7 linked regions of the Canis lupus familiaris genome follow. The main gene of each other region encodes a partner of the protein of the gene in region 4 in a complex. Links are inferred from orthologs where the notes say so. Each region holds a gene or a part of one and is shown on either strand. Other genes may lie near its edges. The genes, in order: CWC22, RBM48, PPIL2, G-patch domain and KOW motifs-containing protein-like, DHX16, BUD13 and CWC27.

Region 1 (4,410 bases), on a different chromosome or scaffold from region 4:
CCTCCCTTTTCCTTTTACCATTTTAAATTCTGAGCCCTATTTCACAGTCTGCTTCCTGGAAGAAGCAAATTCCAAAACGACAAACCTAGTCTTTTCCAGCTCTAGCTTCAACTCTAACATTCCTACCTCTGTCGAAAATTGTAGAGGTGGTAGTGTGCTTTTTTTTCAGATATGGATATAAATGTTTACCAGATTCCTCTCCTATGCCCTGTATCTATTCGCTTAAATATTTAAAGACACTAAAAAGTACCTTTAACTATGGTCAAATATCTTAAATATGAAAAAGAATAGCTAATACTGTGGGACGCCTGGGTGGCTGAGCAGTTCAGCGTCTACCTTTGAATCAGGGCGTGACCCCCAGGTCCTGGGATCGAGTCCCACATTGGGCTCCCCACAGGGAGCCTGATTCTCCCTCTCCCTCTGTCTCTGTGTCTCTAATAAATAAATAAATAATTAAATAAATAAAATCTTTAAAAAAATAGGTAATACTGCTATGTGGTAGGAATTATATCACATACATCAAGTTGTATCAACTAATTCACTTCTTAAATTCACAACTTAATCCACAACTATTAACTTCTTAAAAGTATCCTATGGGGTGGGTACTAATATTTTCCCCAATTTAACAGACAATGGGCACACGGTGTTAAGTAATCTGCCCAAGAAAAATCATCCAGGGGTATTTCGATAGATTCAAGAGCTAAATCTGCTCCAGTGTCTTTTATCTGTAATCACTACACTCTGCTGCCTCAAAGAAAGGGTTAGTAGCATGATTACTCTAAAATTCTAATAGAAAAAAATGTTTGGGGAAACCAGGCCTGCTATATAGAGAAGGTTGGGGAACATGACGGATACAGTTGCTTTATGAAAAGATAGTTTCCAAAACAGTAGCAAGTAGTTGAACTTCTGGGTTTTGTTACTATTAAGTAAAGAATAAAAAAACTGTTCCACTGATTACCTCTGATCTCTGCATAGTCTGCTATTTCCAAGTTGGCCAATCTCCTTATCCTGAGGATGTCCTGCCAGCTGGTACCTTAAACTCAAATAGATGCATCCTCTTCTCCACAAAATTAGCTTCTCATTACTTCATTTTGTGGTCCAATATCCTCCCATTCCCGTAGGCTTGAAATCTTGGAACTTAGTAGGCACTTAAGGCTTCAGGACATTTTTGCTTATATAGGTTCTTTATATAACTACTGAAAAAAATCTGGAAAAGGCGTCTGCCCTTCTTAAAATTTTTCACGGATAAGTGACTGCCAAGGCCTATTTTTGCCAACTGCAGAGAAAGAGCTTTGGAGTAAATTTTGCCCAAGCCTCATCACTACCAGGCTTCAGACGAGCCGCCAAGGATTCTCCGCCGCCTACGCAGAAGAACTACAATTCCCGCCGTACATTGCGACTCTCTCTCAGCCTGAATTACAATTGTTACGTCACTTCCGTCCTCACCGGCGGCGGACGCCGGACTTTGTAGTTTTAAACCAACTTCTCTTTTGTCGCCGTCTTGGAAAGAGAAAAATTGAGTCCGGACCACCTGCTCTAAATCTGGTATTACGAGAGGGTATTTAAAAAGTAAATTAGCAGGCTAGCATTATAAAGTGAATTTAGCGTCAGTTTTTTTTATCCATTTCACGTACCGCCTTCCTCGCACTGCCGGGCCGGGAAGGGGAAGTGACGCACATCCGGTGTAATGGCGGCGCGGTGGCGCTCCAGGTAACTACCGGACTCCGTGGACTCGCCTCAGGCGGCGAGCCGGGGTGGGGGTGCGGGCTGCCGGGCCGGGTGGGCCCCGCAGCGGGGAGCAGGTGTGGGGGCCGTGGGACGGCCGCGGGCAGCGCCGGGGGTGCGCGGCTCCCCTTCCGGAGCCCGCCGGCCCGCGAGGCCGCGGCGGGAGAGCTGCTCGGCGGCGGAGTCTGCGCGGGTGGGAGGCTGCGTCCCCGCGGACCGACTTAGGTTGGGGGGCGGGGTGTGCACGGGGGGACCTCGCCGTGTCCCCGCGCGGACGGACCTAGCTCCCGGGGGGGGGGGGGGGGGTGCCCGGAGGTCCTCGCCGTGTCCCCGCGCGGACGGACCTAGCTCGGCGGGGGGGGGGGGGGGGGGGGGGTGCCCGGGAGGACCTCGCCGTGTCCCCGCGCGGAGGCACCTAGCTCCGGGGTAGGTGCCCGTGGCCCCCTGCACCGTGTCCCTGGCGTGGACGGACCTAGCTCCTGGGGGGGGGAGTGCACGGGAGGACCTCGCCGTGTCCCGGCAGTGGACGGACCTAGCTCGGGGGGTGGTGGTGCACGGGGAGGACCGCGCCGTGTCCCCGCGCGGACGGACCTAGCTCCCGGGGCGGGGGGGGCGGGAAGGGGTGCACGGGAGGTCTGCACCGTGTCCCGGCCTTGGACGGACCTAGCTCCCGGGGGGAAGGGGGGGTGCCCGGGGGGACCGCGCCGTGTCCCCGCGCGGACGTACCTAGCTCCCGGGTAGGTGCCCGTGGCCCCCTGCACCGTGTCCCGGGCATGGACGGACCTAGCACCCGGGGGGGGGGGGGTGCCCGGGAGGACCTCGCCGTGTCCCGGGCGTGGACGGACCTAGCTCCTGGAGGGGGGGGTGCACGGGGAGGACCCCGCCGTGTCCCCGCGCGGACGGACCTAGCTCCCGGGGGGGGGGGGGGGGGGGGGGGGGGAGGGGTGCACGGGAGGCATGCACCGTGTCCCGGCCGTGGACGGACCTAGCTCGGGGGGGTGCCCGGGAGGACCTCGCCGTGTCCCCACCCAGAGGGACCTAGCTCCCGGGTAGGTGCCCGTGGCCCCCTGCACCGTATCCCGGGCGTGGACGGACCTAGCTCCCGGGTGGGTGCCCGGGGCCCCCTGCACCGTGTCCCGGCCGCGCCGCCGTCGCAGGGCCCGGACCCCGTGGAAGCGGGACTCCCCGCCTGTAGCTGCAAGTTCCTCTCTTCTGCCTCTTCGCAGCGTCGTAGCCCTGTTGCATAGCTTCTTCAGACTTCCATTAGTTGCTGCTCTTTTCATTCATTTGCCCCGTAAATGAAGAGGTTCCCTGGTGCTCATTCCTCATCCAGGGAGCTCGCGGTCCTCTTGGCTCCTTCCGCGCGTGGGTGTCCTTACTCCCCAGCGCGGGTCTCCTCGCGTGCGAGCCCCGGATCCTCCCCATACACCTGTACCGGTCGGCAGTGCAGTAGCTGGTTTCGCTGAGTCTGCCTGCAACAACCGCCTTCACTTATTTTGACTTGATGCTCGCAGCGACTTTTTAGGTGAACAGAAGGGGGAAAATGGAGAACGGATATGCCAGATGCCAGAGAGAAGTGATGGGACGCGTAGTAAGAGCCCCTTTACGTTTTTAGGTAACTGCAGACTATAGCGATAGCGGATGGAAAAACGAGATCTGGCCTTCAGAAAACCCGGTGAACCTGCTGCCTCCTTACCGCGTGTACATTTGTTTCAGGATCGCCAGTAAACTCGGGAGTTGACCTCGATTATCATCCAGCGGTGGAAAAGCGAATTTAGAATCGACATTAAAAAAAAGTGTGACTTTGTTCGCAGAGGCGTTGTGACAAGCAGCATCCGTAGGAGCAGGAGATGCTGGGTGATGGACTAGTAAGCCAAAGGTGCCCGTCCCGGCTCAGCACTGACTAGGTCTGTCCCTTGGGGCAGGTAACCTGACATCTCTAGTCTCAGCTTCTTCACCTGAAAAATGTGGGTGATGATATCTAACTTAGTGAGTTGTTTCAAGGATAAAGAAAAATCACGCATATTAGACCCTTGTGCACACCCAGCGCCTGGCGTGAAAGGTTAGTTAGCTCTTGTTACCGCTGTGATACAGTTGATGAGGTCTCTTGCCTCAGTGCTTTTCTTGTCCTTTGGTTTGGAATGTTGCCCTCGCACTTTTAAGCTCCTGTGCCACTTTCCTGGAGCATCTCCCACCCACTTCATTTGGCCGGCATCTGGTTAACTGCCCCCCCCCCCCCCCCCCCCCCGTGTTTGTCCGTTGCCAGGTAATCTACAGTAACTTGTACCTGAGACCGTCTAAGAGAGGACTCATTTATAACGCCGCTGAGACTTTATTTTCTGTTTATTACCCACATGTATCTAGACCGAGTTTTGTACGACCCGGTGTATCGCTAACTTGGTATAAGTTACGGCTGGTCTAGAGCAGGTTTAAGAAAGAGGTGGTTGTCGGTAATGTAGCTGATCCCACTGATGACCCTGTGGGCTTCTTTGTTGCATTTCTCTACCATTTAAATTTGAACATTTTAGCATGGGATGTGATAAAACAGACCTCAGGCATGTCAGTCTCCACAAACTTCTGGACTTACTAAATCTGTAGCCTAAGTATTTTATCTCAGCATATACATTTCCCAAGGGGGCATTGGAAGAGGTAATTCATTACCTACAACAAGTGCAAATTTTCAAA
Region 2 (4,337 bases), on a different chromosome or scaffold from region 4:
TCTAGTCCAATAATTCTAGGGGGGGGGGGAATAATCTAGAAAAAAACAGTTCCAGAGAAGTAAGATGGAAAGGTCGGGTACTTAAAACTATTGGAAACTCTTAAATATCCCCCTCATGATGAGCCAGTTGTGGGTACCATGCATTCAGGATTTCTGAGGATTTCAAAGATCCCATCCCTTTGCCTGCATAAACACAGACTCACAGACTACAGGTCTCTATCTCTAGCTATGAAAATGCGGATGCTGTATTTCTGCCAGTAATTAATAAAAAAAGGACGACTGACGGCAGAGGCTCAAGTAATCCTACCTATGTACCTCCAGGTATGCAGAGTTCTACTGCACATCCCCGGCACACCCCGGACTGGGGGGAGCCTCTGGTTAGTGACCTACTCCGCATGGGGGCCGCGGTGCTCCGCTGTTAATCTACAGGGGCTCTGCAAACCCAACCCGCCCCTCCTTCTGGAGTCCAGGACGGCAGTCGTGCAGGGATCTGGAAATCACTGCCAAGAAAAACATTTTTCAAGATAAAAATAAAAATTAGCGACTTCCCAGGAGCTTTTCCAAACCGGAGTGAGGAATATTTCTGAATGCAGACGTAGACTTAGGATGTTTGTAAGCCCAGTCTCATGGAGTGAAAACACCTGGAACAGGGCAAGTTAAAGGCCCAGGGCTGCACGACCTGCCCCCGGCGGCCGTGCCCTCGAGGGGCCCTCAGTCCGGCCTCTGAACCGCTCGGCGGCGACGGCGGAAAGGCAGCCCTCGCCACGCCGCTCGGGGCGGGGGGCCTGAGGGTCGCCGCGTGCCTCCAAGGCCTCAGCCCCGTCCGCCCCCAGGCTGCTCCCAGGTGTCCCGAGTCTGGGCGGGGAGCCCCGTCCGCGGGCGGCGCGGTACCTGCAGCAGGTGCAGCTGGGCCACGAGGCGCCGCGGCAAGCGGAGGAAGCAGTCGCGAGCGTTGGTGAAGACGACAGTCGCCGCCACCCCACCCCCGTCTGCACCCGCCAGGCGGTCGCCGCCCCACATCGTCCGGCGCCGAAGACGCCCCCGCCGCGGCAGCCCGCTCCAGCCGACGCCCGCCGCGGGGCAGGCCGAGGCCGTCGGAGCCGGAGAAGATCGATCGGCCCCGCCCCCTGCGGCCCCGCCCCCTCGCCGCGCGCCCGTCCGAGGAGGGAGGGGCAAGCAAGCTTCCCCAGCAGTCCCGGGCCTCTCCGCCGCGCCGCCGGAGGGCGGCACCTCGCTCACCCAAGTCTCACTCGCCGGAAACGATGCGGGCCGCCGTCGGCTCTCCAGCCAATCCAGGCACGCCGTGGCCCATTCCCCTCCGTCATTGGGTGGGCGGGAGGGCGGCCCGGCGGATGTTGTCGTTTTGGCCGGAGCCAAGTAGGCAAGATGGCGTCGAGCGGCGGGGAGCTCGGGGGCGTATTCGATCACCACGTCCAGAGGGCCGTGTGCGACACGCGGGCCAAGTATCGGGAGGGGCGGCGGCCTCGCGCTGTCAAGGTAAAGTGACTTGGGTTTTCACTCGCTATCCTCGATAGCGTTATCATGCCCGGCTTGATAGATGAAGGCTTGAGGGGCTGCGGGCCTGCCCACCAGGCATCGGCGGTGGGACGAGAGGCCGGCGCTCAGTTACCAGACGTTCTCACGAACTCCTCGGCTACCTGCTAGAACGTCAGCTCCGCGGGGACGGGGCTCCGCTTTAGTCTTTGTATCTTCCGTGCTTACGTGGTAAGCGCTCAGTGAATCGTTCTCGCTCTCTCTCCAGTTAACTTCTCCTGAGCCAACTTCCGGAAAATATGTCCATTGAAGATACTCTGTGTTTTAATTAGAGGCCCTGACACGGAGGGGTGAATTTATTCTTTATTTTTTCTGCAGACCGGCTGAACAGAATGTTTCTTCTTTTCAGGGCTTTAAGTTTTTTGTTTTTTTTTTTAATTTTAATTCTAGTATAGTTAACCTACAGCGTTATATTAGTTTCAGGTGTACTATATGATAATTCAGCACCTCTGTACGTTATTTAGTGCTCATCATTGTAAATGTACTCTTTAATCCCCAGAGCTTTTTCTTCTTTTTTTTTAAATAGAAGATGTGTCTTAGGCTTATTTGGAAAATACATTTTTTAATTTAAATTCAGTTAGCCAACGTATAGTACACAGTGTCAGATGCAGATGTTCAATAGTTTATCAGTTAGGTACACCACCGAGTGCTCATAACATCATGTGCCCTCCTTAGTACCCATCACGGAATTACCCCATCCCCGCCCACCTCCTCTCCAGCAACCCTCAGTTTGTTTCCTAGAGTTAAGAGTCTCTCTTGGTGTTTCTCCCTCTCTGATGACTTCCCGTTCAGTTTTCCCTCCCTTAACTACGATCCTCTGCGCTCTTTCTTATATTCCATGTATTAGTGAACTGGAGAGTATTATGTTATTTGGTGAAATAAGTCAATCAGAGAAAGGCAGGTATCACATGGGTTCACTAATATGTGGAAAATACATTTTTATGTGTCTGCATTTCTTTTAGGTATATACAATCAATTTGGAATCTCGGTACTTGTTAATTCAAGGAGTTCCTGCGGTGGGAGCAATGAAGGAATTAGTTGAGCGATTTGCTCTATATGGTGCAATTGAACAGTATAACGCTTTAGATGAATACCCAGCAGAAGACTTTACGGAAGTTTATCTTATTAAATTTATGAATTTACAAAGTGCAAGGTAATGTGCAAGTTAAGCTTAAGTTTCATTTCCGCCATTCCCATTGCTAGCACATTGGTCCCAGTTGTCCCTCGTTCATACCTGAATTACTGAGTAACGCTGTATTATTTTAATCTTACTCCAGTCTTTTTTTTTTTTTTCTTTTTAAGATTTTACCCATTTATTCACGAGAGACACAGAGAGAGAGGTAGAGACACAGGCAGAGGGAGAAGCAGGCTCCCTGCAGGGAGCCGGACGTGGGACTTGATCCCAGGTCTCCAGGATCACGCCCTGGGCTGAAGGCAGGTGCTAAACCGCTGAGCCACCCAGGCTGCCCTATCTTAACTCCAGTCTTAAATGTCATTACCTTGCTTAACAATCTTCAGTCATATATTGTGGTAGATTACAAAATGGGTTTGGATAAGTTTTCGAACTTCACAGCTTACTAACATCGTGACTTTGGACAAGTCATTTAACCTCAACAAGCCTGTTTTTTCTAGTCTCTGAAATCTGTACAGTAAAAGGACCTACTTTGAGGGTTGTGTGAGGATGGTATGAAATAATCCATGTAAAGGGCTGAAACATAGTGCCTCCTGTTGAGAATGCAGTAAACATTAGCTATTGAAGTTCTTTTTTTTTTTTTTTTTTCTTTAAACTTGCTGGGATTTTTTTTTTTTTTAAAGATTTTATTTATTTATTCATGAGAGACACACAGAGAGAGAGAGAGGCAGAGACACAGGCAGAGGGAGAAGCAGGCTCCATGCAGGGAGCCCGACATGGGACTCAATCCTGGTCTCCAGCCGCTGAGCCACCTGGGCTGTCCGCTATTGAAGTTCTTAATGTTATGCACCTATGTGAATTGACTCAGTCTTTTCCTGCCTTCTGCATAAATTCTGTGCTTCAATAAGGGTGAAATGCCTCATCTAGTTTTATGTTTACCCCATTCTTGTCACTAATTTGCTCCAATATCCATCCTTTGGCTATTACCATTCATACTTCCTTTTTCTCTTTAAAAAAAAAAAAAAAAAAAAGATTTTAATTACTGTATCCCCAACATGCTCAAACTTACAGCACCAAGATCAAGCATCACATGGTCTACCGACTTAGTCAGTCAGGTGCCCCACCATTCACATTGTCTTTCCGTACTCCAAATAGCACTTGCAGTCTGCCACAAAAGCACTTGATTTTTATAGGGTTATGTATTGTTCTCAGTTTGCTCCCTTATGTGATCTCACTTCCCCTAACCAACTTCCCCTCATAGTTAGCGAAGCATATTTTCTAGAGTTTTTGCATCTCCCACAGCACATAATATGGTAGGTTGTGGAGTTCAGCATCTCAATTTGAATCATAACTCCACAAACTAGTGTGAGCATGGCTAAATTATAAATCTCCTGAGGCCTCCTTAGGTCCTCATAGGGTTTTATGAAATCTTAATTCAGGTGAAGTACTTAGGGCACTGCCTGGTGTGTGATAAAATCTCAATAAGTATTTCTATCATTATCCCTAGACACGCAAGTACTTAAATATTTATTGTAGTATAATGCTTAGCCAGTTACATATGTTTGATAAGTATTTGTTGAATATCATCATGTAACTTTCTCGTTGCTTATATATTCAATATTTACTCAATTATTGAAGATTTTACTATTAC
Region 3 (3,151 bases), on a different chromosome or scaffold from region 4:
TTTTTGTATTGTCTTTTGTGATGGCATTGAAACATTTTTACCAGTGGTCTTAGGCCTTCTTTTGTACTTTTTGGTTTTTTTTGTTTTTGGTAACTGATACCAACGAAAACTCAACACTTTTTTTGTTGTTGGTCTTCCGAAAAATCAAAATCGAAGCTCCTTTCGAAACCAAATGAACAGACCGTGAGCTGGCTCCAGGGAAGGACATTCTCGAGACCACAACCAGATATGCTGGTGGAGTGTTGGAATGTTCCACCCTTTTAAATCCCTAAACAGTAAATATCATCCTGTGTCTTTTATTTAAATTATTTAAAGTATTTTTGTCCTTGAAGAATGGGGAGGGGATGCCAGGACCATAAATGCATTTAACTTAAAACTATGTAGTGTTTTCTGGCGCAGCACATCTGCTTTAGAAGCGTGGTTTAGTTTTGTTGCCGTTTTATATCTACATATATATATAGTATTTTTGTACCTTAACACTTATTCTTGATGGCATCTGTCAGATACTAGGCGAGATCAGACATGGGAATTTTTCCAAAAGTCCTTTAATTTACCTGGTGACCTCACCAGGTACTTACAAAATCTGAGTGGTTTTAATATCTAGAAAACTAAATTCCAGAACAACCTACAGAAATGTAAACCCTTGTTTGTCAAAGACCCTTGGGTGGATCTGCAGCCAGGGTGGCCCGGGCCTGCCTGGGGCCAGGTGAGTGTGGCCACTGGGCGCAGCTGGAGGGACGGACAGATGGACAGCAGTCCGAAGGTTTGCCCCTTTGAGCAGGACTGCCAAGCTCACGTGCACAAGCCTCCTTCAGCCTCCATGTCCAGCCCTCCGTCCTCTGTGTCTGTGTGAGGTTGAACAATAAAGCTTCCAATGTCAGACCTGTCCTTCTCAGTCGCACGTCCTGTCCCGGGCACTCTGCTCTCGGCCGACAGCCCCGGCTTCCTGCTGGGAGTGTTGGGTCAGGGTCTCCGAGCTCCTGTGGTGGCTCTGGTCTGGTCACCTGGGCTCCCCCTCCCCCAAAGGCTGCAGGGGAAGCCTTCTGGGACACCCCCTCTCCAGGGCCTCTGCCCGCACCCAGAGCCACCAGCAACTACTTGGTGGCCTGCAAGTGTGTTCACTTGGCTGTCACCACACGCAGCCCTCTCCTCCTGGGTGAACCCGGATCTTGGAGGCATTTTGGGCACAGACACTGGGACACAAGCGTTTCACCAGCTATCAGATGTCTGGATGTAGCCGGGAGGGGTCGTGATGAGGTTGTGAAGAAGAGGGCCAGGCCTGGCCATGGGCACAGAGGGCTGAGTGGTCACCGTAGAGCCCCAGGCCCTGGCTGCACTCACAGGCAGGGTATGCAGAGGGCACGGTGCGTGGGGGGCACAGACCTTGTTCTCACACGGAGGCGAGCCACTGACTGCTGGGAAGCAAAATGCCAACAGGCTGACGAGCTCTGGGAAGGTGACCCAGATGGCATCTGTGTGGGTGTGTGCAAGGGACTTGAACAGAGGCAGGTGAGACAAGGCGTGGGTCTGGGGTTTCAGCATCCAAGATGGGAAAAAGCAGAGCCCAGGTAAATTCTGGAGCCACTACTGACACTCACTGATGGATCTGAGGTTTGGGCGAGGGGAAGAACCGGGGACAGAGCCTCAGAACGATAGTGTGACAAGCTGGAGGGGGTTGTGGCCTATGCTGACTCGAGGACTAGGTCTTGGGAGTGGGGGTGAGGGGTGGACAGCTATCCCCACGCTCCTGTAGAGGTGCTTTGGGAAGGCCGAGGTAGTGGTGTCAGTGTCGAGAACGTGGAAGCCACGCAGGCACACGCTCCAGAATGAACAGTTAGTGAGAAAGGGCAGGCAAGCAAGTGCTAAGTTTTTTTTTTAAGACATAGAAAAATAAAAAGGGAAGGGATTTTTTAAGTCCAGAAACGCTGGTGAGGCTGGTCTGGAAGCCCTAGTGCTAGGGCAAGGGGTCAAGTGTTTGAGCCAAGGAGGGACCCTGAGGGTGGAAGGGGGGTCACGCCAGCTGGGCAGGGCCTTCGGCGCATCCATCAGTAGCAGCAGGAACCGGAGAGCTGCTCCACGGGCGCTCCTGTGCCTGTCCTGAGGCAGAGAGGCAGGAAGTCCTGGGTGCAGCCCGCACCTGGGCTGGCCAGAGCAGGCCCACGGGGAACATGGCTGTGACCACCCAGAGTCCCTGCTGGGTGGGTGGCCAGGCCCCAGTGAGTCCAGGCAAGAGGCAGCAGAAGAGGTTTTAGAAACTAATGGCAAGGCTCCCATGCAGGGTCCTCAAGCCACTGGCAGCGAGAGCCCCCCAAGGTGTGTCAGCAGAGCGCAGAGCCTGCCCCGAGTCCCCAGATCGGAAGGTCCGGGGTTTGCGATTCTGTGTGTGTAACCAGGTCCCAGGTGATACACTGAGTACAGTCCCTGAGACGACGACAGCCGGGGTGGGGGAGGGTGGGAAAGCCAGAGTCGGGGGCCCTCCTCGCCCACACTGCTGGCTGGTCTGCGGGCCACAGGAAGGGGGCCTCAGGCAACAAGCAAGAGCTTTAGCGAGGTGTCGTCAGACGGGCAGGTGACGAGGCAGGAAACACGGGGTTGTGGACACAGGCCCCCGGCCCCCAGTCCCCCCCGGGGATCCAGAGGGGCAGACCTGCTGCTACCATGAGCTGAAGTCCCCAAAGCCTCGGCTGGGCTTCTTCTTGGCCACAGGCACAGCTGTACTGGTTGAGGGCTCTTCCTCTGCTACACGTTTCCTGGAAAGAGAAGGATCAGTTCCTCGAGCTGGAGGCCCACGCCCGCCCACGCCCTCCCACGCCCTCCCACAGCACCTGCTGCATGTGACGTCACAGCCACGCAGTCCCCACCCAAGTCCTCAATCTCCAGCCTGCACGGTGGCCCCCAGGACACCTGCTCACTGCTCAGCCCCGAAGCCTGGTGCTCCCCCGCCACTGGCACATTGTGGCCTGTGGGCCTTGGGAAGCCTGGAGAGCACCGTGCAAACGGCCAGCCCCGCGCTGCACTCACGTGGCTGCTGGGTTGATGTACTTGCCCACCCCCTGGCGGTACGTCTGGGGCCCCTGGCTCCCCGGCTTGGGCTGGCGGGTTTTCACTGTGCTTTCCGGGGCCGCTGCCTCCTCAAGCTGTGTCCTCTTCC
Region 4 (3,723 bases):
ATGCTCAACCGCTGAGCCACACAGGCATCCCTCCTGTTTGCTTTTTGAAACTCTGTAACGGGATCCCTTCTGTACGGGGTTACCTTTCTGAGCATTAGCTTCCTCATCTGAAAAATGAGGGTAGTGACAATACTGACTTCCCATATCTGTTGCAGAATTACATGAAATTATGTACATAAAGCACTTATAGCAGGCCCTGGCCCAAAATAAACATAGATGAAACATTTGCTATTATCACACAGACTTTTGATCCCTTCTCAGTTTTCTGAACTCCAAAGAATTCTGAAAACCAAATATTTTTTTTCAAACATTTTTTCATAAACCATTTAGTAGCCACACATGACCTGAATTGACACAGAGCATTTTATAGTCTGTTCCTCCTATTTGGTGTGAATATTTGTATGATTTCCCCTGTAGAAATATTAGGGTATTATAATCAAAATCACAGAGATCTGCCTCAGATCCTGCTGTAAATAATATGTAATAGATGGTATACCCAGTGTGTTATTAGGTTGGACCAAACGAAATTGCTTTTCTGTAGATCAAAAACAGTCCTGGGATCCCTGGGTGGCTCAGTAGTTTCTAGCGCCGCCTTCAGCCCGGGGTGTGATCCTGGAGACCCAGGATCGAGTCCCACGTCGGGCTCCTTGCATAGAGCCTGCTTCTCCCTCTGCCTGTGTCTCTGCCTCTCTTGCTCTCTCTGTGTCTCTCATGAATAAAATAAAATCTTAAAAAAAAAAACAGTCCTAATGTGAGATCGGGAAGGATATTCTTGAGCATGTTGATGGGGTGGGATTTGGATGGCTGTGAGGGGACACTGAAGACTTGCATTCCTCCCCTCCCCAGCCCAATAAGCTCATATACTGTGTTGCCTGCAGAGTGGTGAAGCCCCGTCTCAACTTACTGAGGCCGAAGGGGTTAGGGCTGGGTGCCAACCTGAATGAGGTCCAGGCCCTAGTCCCCACTGGCCCCCACCACCTGCCAAAGCCAGATGAAGAGCAAGAGAAGGCTAAGGAAGACCAGCCTCAAGGACTGGTGCCTGGAGGAGCTGTGGTGGTTCTTTCTGGCCCTCACCGAGGCCTCTATGGGAAGGTAAGGAACCAAGCTATGCCTAGAGCCCAAGACAGGCAGCGGGGAAGTTTGATGTGAGGGTCAGAGGGAGGAAGAATTGGGCTTAGGGTGGAAAGGCTGGAAGTCCTTGTCTTTCAGGCCTGCCTGGCTTGCTACCTCATTTGGTAACTCAGAACCACTTGCTGGGCCTGAGTCTCAGTTTACAACTAAAAGAGAGAATGGCCATATGTGCCAAATGTTCCTGAGGCTTAAGTTCTTTAAAATATATCCAAGCCACACAGTCTGGTAGGGGAAACACATGAACCAGGCCCAGGCCCAGGCCTTGGGTCAGTCTGGTGGGGGAGACACAGGGGTCAGGCTTATAGGAGGTAAGACTGGACAGTTCGGTCCTAGGAATGTGAGTTTAGTCCACTCAGACCCTGCCTAACTTCGTCCTCCCCAACGCTTCAGGTAGAAGGCCTCGATCCTGACAATGTTCGGGCCATGGTTCGCCTGGCCGTGGGGAACCGCATGGTTACTGTTAGTGAGTACTGCCTGCGCCCTGTCTCCCAGCATGAGTTTGACAAGAACACCTTGGATCTCAGTGAGTGTGCCTCTTACCTAGCTGGGAGAGTTGGAGAAACATTCCAGGGGGCAGTAGGGGCCTGTACCTGGGGGTGAGGCTGGGTGGGTGTCAGATCTGCAGAGGGGAGGGGCAGTGGTCTGTCAGGCAGATGTGACTTCTGGTCAGAATCCAGGAGGTGAGAATGAAGATCAGTGGTTTATTCGGTTTGAAGAAAAACTGATCTAGTAACCCTGGGGCTTTAGCCTCTCAGAGAAAAAACAGGTGTGGAAACCTATTCCTATCCTCAGGAGGTCTCTGTCTGTTCTAGGTGATGAGCCTCTCTTCTTCTGGGTGTGAGGGCAGCCGGGACTAGGCCATGCCCAAGGAGAAAGGCATTCTAGGCATGGCAGCAGGATGGGGCGGTTTGACAGATGAGATATTGGTGCTGATGGAGCTCTCAGGATTCCCTAGCCCACCTTGGAGTGGCTGAGGAAGCCTTCCTGAAGGAAGCCCCAGCAGTTGAGGGGAAGGGGAGAGCATTCTGATGGCATAGGCAAAGTTGTGATGGTGGGAGGGGACATTGAGGCAGGTGGGAGGTGGCCTGAGGCCAAGGTGTAGCCTGCCAGGTAAGAGGCTCACACTGAGGCTCCTTCCTGGTTCTCCCCATACACCCTTGCACAGGCCAGATGAACAAAACTTCCCCAGGGCAACAGAATGGAACAGCCTCATCATGGAAGGCCCTCCGGGATCAGGACCTCCCCAGCTGGCGGGAGGACTCAGAGAGGAAGCGGAAACACCTTCCCGACCGGTGGGACCCTGGGCATCTGGGGTTGGGGGAGAAGGCAAGGCTGTGGAGGGATTCTAGCAGTCAGAGAAGGCTTCCCGGGCAAGGCAGGCACATAGAAGGAACTAGGGATGACATCAGGGCATCAGGGGTGGGTTTCACAGCAGCCAACTGTGGGGTGACCAGAACGTGTCTCATCAGCTAAGCCTGTGTTGGCCCTTTCCGCAGACAGGGGGAGCCCGCAGCCAAGAATGAGAAGGCAGGTCCCCAGAGCCAGCACTGGTTGCACAGGGACCTGCGTGTGCGCTTTGTGGACAGGCAGCACAAAGGTGGCCAGTATTACAACACCAAGGTGGGAACCCTGCAGCCTGGCTTTCCCCCACCCCCCCGGAACTAGGCCCCCATAACTGTAACACTCTCACATCCCGTGACCCTTTCTCCAGATGACCATTGAAGATGTCCTCAGCCCAGATACCTGTGTGTGTCGAACAGATGAAGGCCGGATTCTGGAAGGTGAGTCTGAGGGATGGCCACTGGGGTTTTAATCATCCATCCTAGAGGCTGAATAGGAAGGCTGTCTTCGACCCAAGAGGCTGGTGCAGGCAAAGGCTGGAAGGTTAGGCAGAGTTCAGGCATTTTGCACAGCCCAGAATCTTTTGACAGAATACGAGGCACTTCTGTGATGGTGATTATCTAAGCTGCTCTTTCCCCCTGTGATGGTGATTATCTAAGCTGCTCTTTCCCCCTGTGCACACTGGCATAGAAATGAGCTATTTCTCCCTCTGGGGACTGGGCCTTGTACAGATGTGTACTGAACTCCCCGTGCAGGGCAGGGCATATGACGTGCACACAATAAACGGTATCTGTTGTCATCACCCATCATTTTCGTGCATAAGTGCTCCTTTTTTCATAGTTCTTTCTTCTTTTTTTTCCCAAGATTTTATTTATTTATTTGACAGAGAGAGAGCATACACACAAGCCCGGGGAGTGGCAGGGAGAGGGAGAACCAGACTCCCTGCCAAACAGGGAGCCTGATGTGGGACTTGATCCCAGGACCCTGGGATCATGACCTGAGCCTAAGGCAGACGCTTAACTGACTAAGCCACCTGGTGCCCTATTATAGTTATTTCTAGGAACTGCTCCTTAGGTGTCCTCACCTGTGAGCTGGAGTGGGGCAGGGGGACTCCCACCTGTCAACAGGGTGCAGGATGGCTCTGAGGCATACAGGAAAGGCTTTCTGACAGGACCTGGGTGGGCTGGCCCTGGCCATGGGCCTCACTCCCCTTTCCTCATCTGCAGGCCTGAAGGAAAACATGCTGGAGAC
Region 5 (3,723 bases), on a different chromosome or scaffold from region 4:
ATCCCTTGCAAAAATCTCAGAAACCATGGAAGGCCAGCTAGTGCAAGAGTGTTTAGGGTGTGCGGTTTTCCTGTCAAGCCAGCCTGCTTTGTGAAACAGCTGGGGACTTCACTGGCATAGTCAGGGATACGCACAAAGAATTGAGGTCAGGGGTGAGCTCCTGCAGGCATGGCTGTCACCTGAGAATCCAAAGACTTTAGCAAAGATATCAAAGATGTGTCCCACATATAACTAAGGAGGAGACCAAGAAGCCCGCAGAGCCCTCTAAGATTGGGGTAGAAAGGCCTACTGGGGGACACCTGGGTCCCTCAGTGGTTGAACGACTGCCTCTGGCTCAGGGCATGATCCTGAGGTCCCAGGATTGAGTTCCATATTGGGCTCCCCAGAGGGAGCCTGTTTCTCCCTCTGCTTGTGTCTCTGCCTCTCTCTCTGTTTCTCATGAATAAATAAATAAAACCTAAAGAAAGAAAGAGAGAGAGAGGAGACGGAGAGAGAGAGAGAGAGAAAGAAAAGAAAGACAGACAGACAGGCTTACCTGGTTCCTCTCTCCAGAAGGATGCAGCAGGACCAAGAGACATGCACAACAGCAGTCTCATGGAAGCCTAGGAGCTCCTGGGCTGTGCAAATCCTGGTGCTTCAGGTCTGTATGTTCATTCTCAGCCAGCCTGGGGAGCCCAGCCTTACTCCCAAAGGCCCTGTTCTCACTTTTTTCCCCCCCTTTAAAACAGAAACTCTTATTTCTGTTGAGTCTAACAGATCCATGACTCTGATCCAGAGAGCATATGTGACTTGTCCTGGCCTTGGCTTTCAGCCTCCAGATCTTGGCCGTTGTTGTCTGTCCAGGCTGAGATAAACTGCAGACTGCGGGCCCTTGGCTTTCTTTCTTTCTTTCTTTCCTTTCTTTCCTTTCTTTCCTTTCTTTCTTTCCTTTCTTCTTCCTTCCTTCCTTCCTTCCTTCCTTCCTTCCTTCCTTCCTTCCTTCCTTCCTTCCTTCCTTCCTTCTTTTCTTTTCTTTCTTTCTTTCTTTCTTTCTTTCTTTCTTTCTTTCTTTCTTTCTTTCTTTCTTTCTTTCTTTCCTTTCTCTTTTCTTTTCTTTCTTTTCTTTTCTTTTTTTTTTTTCTTTTCTTTTCTTTTCTTTCTTTTGGCTTTCTTTAACATTGTATTAGTCTTCCTTAACTGGGGTGATTGGCCTCTCTTTGGAACCCCCCCTCCCATATTCACCATTGGGCTCTTTGCTTTCCCTTTGTGCCCTTGTCCAGGGGATCCTGTTGTCCTCTCCTGGGCAGCTCTCCTGGCTCACAGCTCTCTTGTTCTTTCCCCAGTGTGGTAATGGTAGATGAAGCTCATGAACGAACCCTACACACAGACATTCTCTTCGGGTTAATCAAGGATGTTGCTCGTTTCCGGCCTGAGCTGAAAGTCTTGGTGGCTTCAGCCACACTGGACACTGCCCGTTTCTCCACCTTCTTTGATGATGCTCCTGTCTTCCGAATCCCTGGACGCAGGTTTCCAGTTGACATCTTCTATACCAAGGTGCTCCCCTCAGGGAGGATGGGCTGAAGTGCGAGGCTGAAAAGCTTGGGCCTTTGGAGAAGGTAGTCCCAAGGAGGGAAGGGGAAATGGAGAGTCTGAAGAAGAACTGGGATAAACTGATTATTGAGCTGGGAGAAGAGGAAGTTTCTTGAACAGATGGCCTTCCTGTGACCCTCTCCTCCTCACCCCCAGGCTCCAGAGGCTGACTACCTAGAAGCTTGTGTGGTGTCTGTGCTGCAGATCCATGTGACCCAGCCCCCTGGGGATATCCTGGTGTTCCTGACAGGACAGGTGTGAGACATGGGGCAAGGGACAATGAGGTGTGTATCCCAGGGGAAAACAGAGCTGGCAGGTGGGCCTTCTGTCACTCTGGGACCTGTACTGCTCTCCCCATCCCAAATCCAGGAGGAGATTGAGGCTGCCTGTGAGATGCTCCAAGATCGCTGCCGCCGCCTGGGCTCCAAAATCCGGGAGCTCTTGGTGTTACCCATTTATGCCAACCTGCCTTCTGACATGCAGGCCCGTATCTTCCAGCCCACACCCCCGGGGGCACGAAAGGTCAGTTGGAGACGCCCACATTCTTCACCCCTATAGTTCACACAAATAGTGAAAAAGAGGGTGTGTGCCTGCCCTATGCAGGCTATGTCCTGGGCACTGCTGCAGCTGCAAGGCTTAGTTGTAGTCAATCCCTAGCCTCCAGAGCTGGAGAGAGAGGGTGAATTCAGCAAATATTTGATCCAGTTAGTAAGTATGTGGAGATGCAGAGGAGAAGGGAAGTCCTCAGGGTGCCAAAAGGTGGGATTTGATTTGGATCTTTAGGGAAAAAAAGGTAGGTAATACCAGAGTAAGGCTTAAGGTATGTTTAAGTCAGAATGTAATCCAAAAGGCTGAGGGGAAGGTTCATGTGGTGAAAACAATTCTGGACTGAGATTAGGGAAGGCCTTTGATAGCAGTTGGAAGCATTTTGACTTTAGATGATTGGGTTTTGAGCAAAGACGTAACTTCCATCCAACAAATGTATAACAAGCTCCTGCCATGTGCCAGATACTCTTCTTGGGCATGAAGATACAGTGATGAACAGAACAAAGTCCCTAGCCTCACAGCCGACAGTCTAACTTAAATTAGGAGACAGTGGACGCGTAGATGCCTGATGCTGATTTGTGACCAATGCTGTGGAGAGATATAGCCCAACATGGGGGAAAAGGAGACTGACTCCAGGGAGGCTGGGAGTGAGCAATGTCAGGAAGGTAGTTTCCTTGGGGTATGGGAAGGTGAAAGGGAAGCTGAGGCCTGAACCCAGTGAGGGAGGGAGCCAGGCTGATAGCTGGGAAGGGAGTGTGTCCAGCAAAGGAAGGCACTCATGCAAAGGACCCGAGTGAGGAGTGTGCTCAGACCAGCCAGGGAGCAACTGTGCAGGAGTGGAACGACGGAGCCTGTAGTCCTTGGAGATGAGATCAGAAAGGTAGAGCACTTGGAGACTTAAGGGGCTTGGATATAATTCTCCAGTAGGATGGGAAGCCATCAACGGATGGTGTTAGTGATGTGACAGGTTTACATTTTTAAAGGACAATCTGGGTGCCAGAAGAATGCCAGGTAAGCAGGACTTGGAGTAGAGGCAGGGAGACACATGAGGAGGCTATTGAAGGAAGTCCTAGCTGAGGAAGATTGTGAAAGTGGTAGTGGGAAAGATGGAGGCAGGGACCTGGACTCCCTCTCCCATCTCTAAAAAAAAAAATTTAACTCCTCCCATTTCCTTTCCGCCTTATGTCTCTTTTTTTCTTTCTTTCTTTCTTTTTTTTTAAGATTTTTATTTTTTTAAATTTATTTATTCATGAGAGACACAGGCAGAGGGAGAAGCAGGCTCCATGCAGGAAGCCCAATGTGGGCCTCGATCATGGGTCTCCAGGGTCATGCCCTGGGCTGAAGGCAGGTGCTAAACCGCTGAGCCACCCAGGGATTCCCTTATGTCTCTTTTCATTCCTTCTCTCCTTGAACCCTTCCTGGCCTTGTCCCTGTCTTCTGACATTAGGCAATAATCCTCTTTGCTCCTGTCCCTTATCTGTGCCTGCTTCTTTACTCAAGTCTTCAGGATTACTCTTTCTAGGGAACTTGGTGGGTGAGGTCTCCGGGTGACTACATCCTCTCACTCAGGTGGTTGTGGCAACAAACATCGCTGAGACGTCACTCACC
Region 6 (3,723 bases), on a different chromosome or scaffold from region 4:
TTTTATTAAGTTTTTAATGAACTAATAAACACTTTTAAACACCTCAGTTTAATTTTGAATATGGTAAATATTAAAAGATGTATTCCACATAAACAGAAGTTTTTTGGGGTCCTTAGTAATTTTTAGAAGTAGAAAGGGCTCCTGAGGTCAAAAAGTTTGAGAATTATCATGCTAAATGCTAGAACAATGTCCTTTGTAGGCAAGAGGAGACGGACTCTAATGTATAAGGAGAGGGACAGACTTTGGATAGAAGCACATTTAGGTCATCATGTTAATAGACAGGAAGTTAGAGTATATGGGTAGATGCTGGTTGCAGAGGTCAGTGAGACCCTGTAAGTAGCTCACTCCTAAGGCAGTGAAGAGAAGGTTGAAGAACTACATTTTAAAGATACAACACACAAAAAAACTCCAGACTCCCATCCATCACTCATTCCCTCTAAACCTTAGAAAATATCACTAGAGGTGACCAATGTCAGAAACAAAGGGTATCCTATCAGCACCACCAGAGCAATTTGTCCAGAGCTTTATAAAGCTTTGAAAAGGAAAATAGGAGTAGTAGTATTCTGAGCATGGGAAATGGGATTTGGAGACCTTAAAAAAAGCAAACTACATGTTATTAACCTTGTGCTTAGAGTAGAGAGAGAGGGAGAGTAATTTAAGAACGGTTAGGGAAGATTAGGGGCAGATGGAAAAGAAAACAAAAATGTATGAAACATTCAGGCTTACCTGTCCACTCCATCCCAGCGATAACCAGGCCAGATATTGAATCTGTTGGGAGGAGGTGCAGGACCAGTGTAGCGAGGTCTCACTGGTGAGAGGAGAGAGAGAGAAAAGAAGTTAGTTACCTTATGTAACTCAATTCAGAACTGAGTGGCAGTGGGAACAAAAAATTTTACACCGAGATCTCTACTGAGCTGAACCCTAACTCCCAAATACAAGGAATCTAAAACTGTGTGGGAAAGCCTTCTCTCTGTCCAGCTATGTACCATCAGCCTAACGACCATCCCTCTTTACATAAGTCTCTGGTGAATCCCAAAAGGTTCACCTTTCTTATTCTTGTTCTCCTTGGCTTTATTCTTCTTGATAAAGTTGGCCATGGGGTCTCCCTCTCTTTCCTGTTCTCTCAGCATCCGATCCAGATCTTCATCATCAATATAACGGGCCAGCGGCTTCTGCATTTCCTTCACTGCATCCTCCACGTTTTGTTGTTGCTGCCGGCTCTGGACTAGCCTGGGCAAAAAGAACCAAGAGTGTCTGCTATCTAGTGTAACATTTCCCTTCTTACACTAAAATGGACCATATGACTACATTTGGAGCACCTCCTTTTTCTGACAGCACAAGCCAAATATTGAAAAGAGTAAAATTTCCAGAAAGCGAACTGAAAGTGTAGAATACATCAGTATTTTAGGAAGGAGACTGAGCACACCAAATTTTCCATTCCTGAAATGGCTCTGAAGGCAGAACAATGAACTAGTTGGTCAGGAAACTAGATAATGTCCTCTCCAGTCCTAGCACAGTCTTGTTCTTCACTTCGGCAGTTCTCTTACCCTTTTCCCCACCGAGCATACAGCTCATCTCTCTCCGAGTCCTTCTCTGCTTTTCTCCTTTGCTCTAAACGTTCCAGTTTCAAATTCCTCTTACGGCCAGACTTATCTCGAAATACAGTTTCAGCATACTGGAATTCAGCTGCAAAGGAAAATTCTACTTTTAAAGATAAACATCAGGTATCAAAATCAGAAACAATATTCTAACAGTTGAAATCAACCACTTGGGATTCCTTTTTTTTTTTTTTTAACCACTTGGGATTCTGATGCTGGATAAAAACTTTTGCAGCCAGACTACAAATAGCTCCTACCAATATCTAACTAACCTTTTTCAAGAATGAAAAGAATCACTTGGGCCTACTAAGAAGTTAAAATAATACATAAAACCAGAACTGAAATTTGATATCAATTAAAAGTTTAAAATATCAGGCACAATAAACTACATTAAAAAAATAAAATCTAAATGAGCCTCAATTAGTCTCTGAATTTTTACATTTTTACCTTCGAACGCCAGAGTTTCTTGGTCCCGTTTCTTGAGCTCCTGCTGCTCTTGCTGTATGTCAGTTAACACCAACCCAGTTTTAGCCCCAGAATACATGTGTGTAGCCTATGCAATAGAAAGGGGAGCATGCGACATTAATGAGACAATGTAGCAGTAGGCTCCAGGGTATACACAGTTAGATGCATTTTTGCCTGATAATTAGCAATAACCAAACCAAACACTGTAGCTTTGTATTCTCATTATTGACCACAAGATTCACAAAATAAAAAAGAATAAAGCTGAATTTGGTGGCAAATTAACAGTACTATTAAGTTTTAAGAATAAACAGAAACACAAACTAAGAAAATATTAAAGAAAAGGCACAGCATCTATATTTCTGACTTTTTAATATATAAACTGCACACATGAAGATACATTTTCAAATCACCTGATTGAAACCTGTATCAAGCTCTAAGCCCTCCAGTAGAGACATACACTGATAAAATATTCCATTTCAACTACATATTCAAGCAAATCTAAGGTCCTTCAATTGTGGATACATTTCAGGATAATGACAAGTTATGACCAAATCAAACCTTTTTATTAAATTCCATTTCATATCAAGATAACCAACCGACCCATAAACGGAGTATACAGAGTATCCAGTGCAACATATAAACCTGATTAGCATAAAATTGTCCATGAAAGAAACAGATGCCTAAAATGCAATGGGTCCAGTTTCAACACAAACCTCACTTTGTTCCCCAAAAGAGAAGAGCCCCACTTCCTGAGTCAGGGACAGGCTACAAGAATAATGTGGGTGACAGAGAAGACTTACCTGGAAAAGTCTGGGTTGGACGGAAATGTGCATATTGCAGACTCTATTACTGTTCATTTTTTTCTATTACTATTTCTTAACCAACCCACTGGAATAAGATTCTTTTCCTAGCACCAGTGTGCTTTGCAAAACAAAAAAGAGTTCATGTGGATGATCTGGGCAATTCATGCTTCATCATAGATTTAAAATAAAACAAAACACTGACTTCCCAGGTGATATGATTTCTAAAAGTCATTTTATATTTTAAACACCTCTCTTTATGCTCTGGATATAGAGACCTGTAGTCCAATTTATAATAATAAATTGCTTGTGCTAATGTCTCACTTTGTCCTGGGCACTTGTAAGATACACTTACACATTTAACTCACAATAACCTCATGAAGTACATACTACCATTATCCATGTTTTACAGATGAAGCTGGAGCTTAGAGATATTCCACAGCTTGTTCAAATCTCACACAGTAAGTTGAAGAAGTAGGATTTGAATATCCAACACAAGGCTTGTACTCCAAATTCTACTCTGTAAACTATAGTTCTTAGTTCATTCATAAGAAAATAGAAAGTTTTTCTGGACTTTTTAAAAATTGAGATTTGTGGAATTAAGAGAATAGAAAGACAGAAGGTACTTAGGAAACCTGGTGTTTGCAAGTTCTTCTGGGCTGGGTTACAGTCAGTCTGGCCTGCAGAGAGAAGCAAAGAGCTCTAGAGGTAACTGCACTAGATCTACTATACTACCAGGAACTACCTCCTCCCTCTCTGGTTTATGTATTGGAGACATGTACAAAGCTAGAAAACAGGAGTCACTCTAAGAGAAGGACACGGCTCTTGAAAAACTCTACCTTCTTTCCTAGAGGCTGACT
Region 7 (3,723 bases), on a different chromosome or scaffold from region 4:
AAGATAATTGTTTTTTAAAACCAGACAACAGGTTCGAAAATACTTCTTTTCACACCCTTAAGTGATGCTGTTGGGAACAATGGCTGTTACAAGGCCATTTGTTGCAGGCACGTTTCTAGCTAGCTCTAGTTAACATTACTGTAATTTTATCTTCTCTCTTTTTTCTCTCTCATCAGCTTTTTGCTTTCTTCTCGTCTTCTCTTATTCACTGGATTCCGAGGATCATAGATTTCAAATGTGTCTGAATCTTGCATGCTTGCATCCTTCACTTTTCTGCTTTTATCCTCAAACTGAAGTACATGCGACATCCTGAAGAGGGAGAGAGATGGATGGTTCAGTGATTTTGGCAGGAGAACAGAAAGTAGACGTTTTATACTATACTGTCCTTGGCATAACGCACCATAGGGTACAGGACACCAACATGCGCTTGTTGTTTATTGGTGCTTACACCGCATGGAAACCACCTTCTCAGAAGACACTTAAATTTGAAAAACGTGTCTGGAGTTTGTTCTGTTGGTTTGTATTTTTTAGTAAAGAGTCTCTTTGCCTCAGTCTTCACTTGAAGGTCCTTTCCTGATGGGAGGTTAAAGGAATTGTAGCAGAATGTTCCTTCACCTAAACTCAGAGAACATTTTGCCAGCTTCCTTTAAATAAAGAGCAGGCTCACTTAGCCAGAGAGGGCAGGGCGGCAGAGCAGAACTCCTGACAATAAACCAGCCCTATCTGATCTTTCTGTTTTCAGTAGTTAAAGGGGTCAAGATTCAGGAATGTGTTAAGAAAATTCTTGTTCAAATGATGTTATGACTGCCTTTTCAGGGGAGCTGCAGGGTTAAAAACAAAAAATGATTTTTTTTTTTTTTTTTTTGTGCAAAAGGAAACTAAGCTTTGGCATAGCTCCATGGACTAATTTCCTCCTCTTACTGTTGATTACAACAAATTTAACCATCCTGCTTTTCCCACTTTATCAAATGCTTACTGGTCTTAAGGTATCAACATGTGCTTGAGTCCTAAGTGGTCATAAGCTGGCTATCCTTAGCAGCAGGGAAATATGTAAGTGATTAGCTCTGCCCCCATTAGGAGGTGTCAGAAATAAATGGGGAAGTCAAAGACCAGATTTCAGAGCAACTGAATGAATTTGGAAAGAGAAAAGTCAGTTTCGATATATAAACAAAACTACTAAAGCTTTTCCCACTTGTTATTTAAGCACTTTTAAAGTGGGCATACCCAACACTTTTATCACAGCTGATAGGGCTAAATTGCCTATAGGATTAACACTCCCCATACACCCGCTGTAACTTTCACATGAAACCCAAATATTACATTAATTTCTTTTTCCCTGAATAAGCAGGGATTTGGGCAGTAGGTACAAGTCCCCCATCCCTTTTCCCTGCAGTAGCAGAAATGCTGAGTGAAGCTTACTTATGTGAAAAACTCTCACGGATATATTCAGATTTTGAAGAAAACATTTTGGTGACAAATAAAATGTTATAGTATTAATGATACTGAAGTTACTAAGGATTCAGTAGCTACTGTTCTCAAGGGCTAACAAGTTGAGCCTTAACTATCATTCCCATCCCTTCTATCCCAGAAAAGCTTGCAGTTAGTACAAGTGATATTATTATATGGATGACCTAGAGTCTACTTTAACTTACTAAATGAAGTAAATCACATTCACATTTCTATACTTTATTATTATCTTTATTTTCTATACTTTTTGTGCTTTATTTCTATATCACTAATATGTAATTTGCATTAAATTTCATAACTAATTTCAATAACTAATGTTCAATGTGAACATGCCATATCACCTGTAAGAACTGCTGAATCCTTACACTTCTTTTGCTTGAGTGAGTATCTTTATTCAGAAAAAGGCATCATATGAGATCTTGCCATTTACCGTATGGGTGGACCTAGAGGGTGTTATGTTTACTGAAATAAGTCAATGACAAATACCGTATTATTTCACTTAGATGTAGAATCTAAAAAAACAAAACAAATCAATAAACAGAATCAGACCTATAAATACAGAGAACAAACTTACGGTTGCCAAGAGGGGGGAGGGGTGGGAGGATGGGCCACATGGGTAAAGGGGCATGGGACGTACAGGCTTCCACTTATGGAATGAATAGGTCATGGGAATAAAAGGCACAGCATAAGGAATATAGTCAATATTGTAATAGTGTTGCATGATGACAGATGGCAGCCACACTTGTGGTGAGCATAGTGTAAGGTATAGATACTTGAATCACTATGTTGTACACCTAAATCTAATGTAACATTGTATGGCAACTATATCCAAAAGGAAGGAAGGGAGGGAGGGAGGGAGGGAAGGAAAGAAAGAAAGAAGGAAAAAAGGAAAGAAAGGGAAAAGGAAAGGGAGGAACAAAGAAGGAAAGAAAAATAGAAGCAAAACAACAGAAAAAGAAAATCAGCAAGTATAGTTACCTCCTTACCATAGCAATGACAGTGGAAAAACCATGCTGGACAGGTAATTTCAAGAATGGTGATATTGAGGCCTTTGCTTCCTAAATTTCCACTTTAAATTGTTTCTATCTTCTTTGAAAATGATAAGATACATTTAATGGAAGAAATGGAAAAAAGAGCTCTGAATTAAGCTTATGATAACAGAATAAATAGCACCAATTTTATCATGGATAATCATACAATTTAGTAGGATAAATTTGTAGATTCTTTGTGGGAGGAGGATGTAGGGTATTCAAGGAAGTACAACATAGGATTGTTGCTTATTTAAATAGATTCCTCAAGTGTGACTTTCTTACACTTTGAATTTCCTGCAGTGTTAGCTTCTGAAAATAAAACAATCCCAACTCCTAGAAAAAGGCGGATTGTTCTACATTCGTGGTAACCAGGGACTACTAGAACTGGTTTGAAACGTACTCAAACTGGATTTAATCAATTAATGATGATTTGCCTAGGCCTAAAGGATCAGTGACAACTCAGTTCAGTAAACACACCTCTGAAAGCCAACTAATCAGTTGGCCAATCAGTGGTGGACTGTCGAGTAAACATTTCTGAAAGCTGGCCAATCACCGAGAGCCTCTGGTGCATAATGGGGCTCCTGAGGCTGATAACCCCTAATAATCCCTGACCCCAAAACTCTGTGTCAGATTTGCAACCCACTTTGCTCAGAGACTGTGCCTAAAAGCATAACTCTTCCTTACTTAATAAATTAAACCTTTTGTTTCAGGTAAAGGAGAGGTGGTCTTTTTCTTTGACACTTCTTATAATCTGTCCTGCATTTCCCACAAAGTATACTTTTTAGGAATTGTATTTCTCCTCCTGAGGAACAAGTTTAGAAGGATGGCAGGATGTCCTTTTAAAGGTCCTTTATCACACATTGTGGGGAGTACAGACCTTGCACTGCATTTCAGTAAGCGTTTAGCAAATAAATGATTCTTGTGCAGATACCTAACCCAGGTAAGTAGCTTGAAACCAGGAAGTACCTGAAACATGCCCTTTAAAACAATTTTATTTAATACTCCTGTACTGATAGTAAAAAACAAAACCACTGTCTTTAGTTAACTTATTAATAGCTTTCTATATACACATTTTTCTATTTCAAAAATTATTGCTCTCTCCAAAAATGCAGATGGATTTTTTTTTTTTGTAATATCCATTTCTATTAGGGACTGTCCACATTTCAAAAATGACTTTACCAGAACCTGTCAATTAAAACCTTATAGGCACCTTCTTCCTTTCTCT

Evidence for each region.
Region 1: G-patch domain and KOW motifs-containing protein-like (region 4) and CWC22 share a complex: the UniProt entries of both Homo sapiens proteins name them as parts of the minor spliceosome. The link is inferred for Canis lupus familiaris from reciprocal best matches to the Homo sapiens genes GPKOW and CWC22.
Region 2: G-patch domain and KOW motifs-containing protein-like (region 4) and RBM48 share a complex: the UniProt entries of both Homo sapiens proteins name them as parts of the minor spliceosome. The link is inferred for Canis lupus familiaris from reciprocal best matches to the Homo sapiens genes GPKOW and RBM48.
Region 3: G-patch domain and KOW motifs-containing protein-like (region 4) and PPIL2 share a complex: the UniProt entries of both Homo sapiens proteins name them as parts of the minor spliceosome. The link is inferred for Canis lupus familiaris from reciprocal best matches to the Homo sapiens genes GPKOW and PPIL2.
Region 5: G-patch domain and KOW motifs-containing protein-like (region 4) and DHX16 share a complex: the UniProt entries of both Homo sapiens proteins name them as parts of the minor spliceosome. The link is inferred for Canis lupus familiaris from reciprocal best matches to the Homo sapiens genes GPKOW and DHX16.
Region 6: G-patch domain and KOW motifs-containing protein-like (region 4) and BUD13 share a complex: the UniProt entries of both Homo sapiens proteins name them as parts of the minor spliceosome. The link is inferred for Canis lupus familiaris from reciprocal best matches to the Homo sapiens genes GPKOW and BUD13.
Region 7: G-patch domain and KOW motifs-containing protein-like (region 4) and CWC27 share a complex: the UniProt entries of both Homo sapiens proteins name them as parts of the minor spliceosome. The link is inferred for Canis lupus familiaris from reciprocal best matches to the Homo sapiens genes GPKOW and CWC27.

What each region holds. Positions count from the first base shown.
Region 1 is NC_049257.1:23,753,537-23,757,946, reverse strand, and holds the start of CWC22 (pre-mRNA-splicing factor CWC22 homolog), read left to right. Parts: upstream 1-1,521; 5' UTR 1,522-1,545; intron 1,546-1,557; exon of another isoform or gene 1,558-1,710; intron 1,711-2,908; exon of another isoform or gene 2,909-3,340; intron 3,341-3,429; exon of another isoform or gene 3,430-3,632; intron 3,633-3,638; exon of another isoform or gene 3,639-3,787; intron 3,788-4,410. UniProt on the Homo sapiens protein: Required for pre-mRNA splicing as component of the spliceosome. As a component of the minor spliceosome, involved in the splicing of U12-type introns in pre-mRNAs. Promotes exon-junction complex (EJC) assembly.
Region 2 is NC_049235.1:18,068,209-18,072,545, forward strand, and holds the start of RBM48 (RNA-binding protein 48), read left to right. Parts: upstream 1-1,341; 5' UTR 1,342-1,352; coding exon of another isoform or gene 1,353-1,386; coding exon 1,387-1,497; intron 1,498-1,569; exon of another isoform or gene 1,570-1,725; intron 1,726-2,516; coding exon 2,517-2,707; intron 2,708-4,337. UniProt on the Homo sapiens protein: As a component of the minor spliceosome, involved in the splicing of U12-type introns in pre-mRNAs.
Region 3 is NC_049247.1:31,132,185-31,135,335, reverse strand, and holds the end of PPIL2 (RING-type E3 ubiquitin-protein ligase PPIL2), read right to left. Parts: coding exon 3,022-3,151; intron 2,912-3,021; coding exon 2,905-2,911; intron 2,751-2,904; coding exon of another isoform or gene 2,740-2,750; coding exon 2,524-2,739; 3' UTR 527-2,523; downstream 1-526. UniProt on the Homo sapiens protein: Has a ubiquitin-protein ligase activity acting as an E3 ubiquitin protein ligase or as an ubiquitin-ubiquitin ligase promoting elongation of ubiquitin chains on substrates.
Region 4 is NC_049260.1:42,454,885-42,458,607, reverse strand, and holds part of G-patch domain and KOW motifs-containing protein-like, read left to right. Parts: intron 1-878; coding exon 879-1,092; intron 1,093-1,521; coding exon 1,522-1,654; intron 1,655-2,296; coding exon 2,297-2,423; intron 2,424-2,627; coding exon 2,628-2,751; intron 2,752-2,842; coding exon 2,843-2,912; intron 2,913-3,698; coding exon 3,699-3,723. UniProt on the Homo sapiens protein: RNA-binding protein involved in pre-mRNA splicing. As a component of the minor spliceosome, involved in the splicing of U12-type introns in pre-mRNAs.
Region 5 is NC_049233.1:603,005-606,727, reverse strand, and holds part of DHX16 (pre-mRNA-splicing factor ATP-dependent RNA helicase DHX16), read left to right. Parts: intron 1-1,322; coding exon 1,323-1,533; intron 1,534-1,725; coding exon 1,726-1,824; intron 1,825-1,938; coding exon 1,939-2,091; intron 2,092-3,684; coding exon 3,685-3,723. UniProt on the Homo sapiens protein: Required for pre-mRNA splicing as a component of the spliceosome. Contributes to pre-mRNA splicing after spliceosome formation and prior to the first transesterification reaction.
Region 6 is NC_049226.1:16,831,927-16,835,649, reverse strand, and holds part of BUD13 (BUD13 homolog), read right to left. Parts: coding exon 3,703-3,723; intron 2,152-3,702; coding exon 2,046-2,151; intron 1,687-2,045; coding exon 1,548-1,686; intron 1,231-1,547; coding exon 1,046-1,230; intron 809-1,045; coding exon 727-808; intron 1-726. UniProt on the Homo sapiens protein: Involved in pre-mRNA splicing as component of the activated spliceosome. As a component of the minor spliceosome, involved in the splicing of U12-type introns in pre-mRNAs.
Region 7 is NC_049223.1:50,071,655-50,075,377, reverse strand, and holds part of CWC27 (spliceosome-associated protein CWC27 homolog), read right to left. Parts: intron 310-3,723; coding exon 147-309; 3' UTR 1-146. UniProt on the Homo sapiens protein: As part of the spliceosome, plays a role in pre-mRNA splicing. Probable inactive PPIase with no peptidyl-prolyl cis-trans isomerase activity. As a component of the minor spliceosome, involved in the splicing of U12-type introns in pre-mRNAs.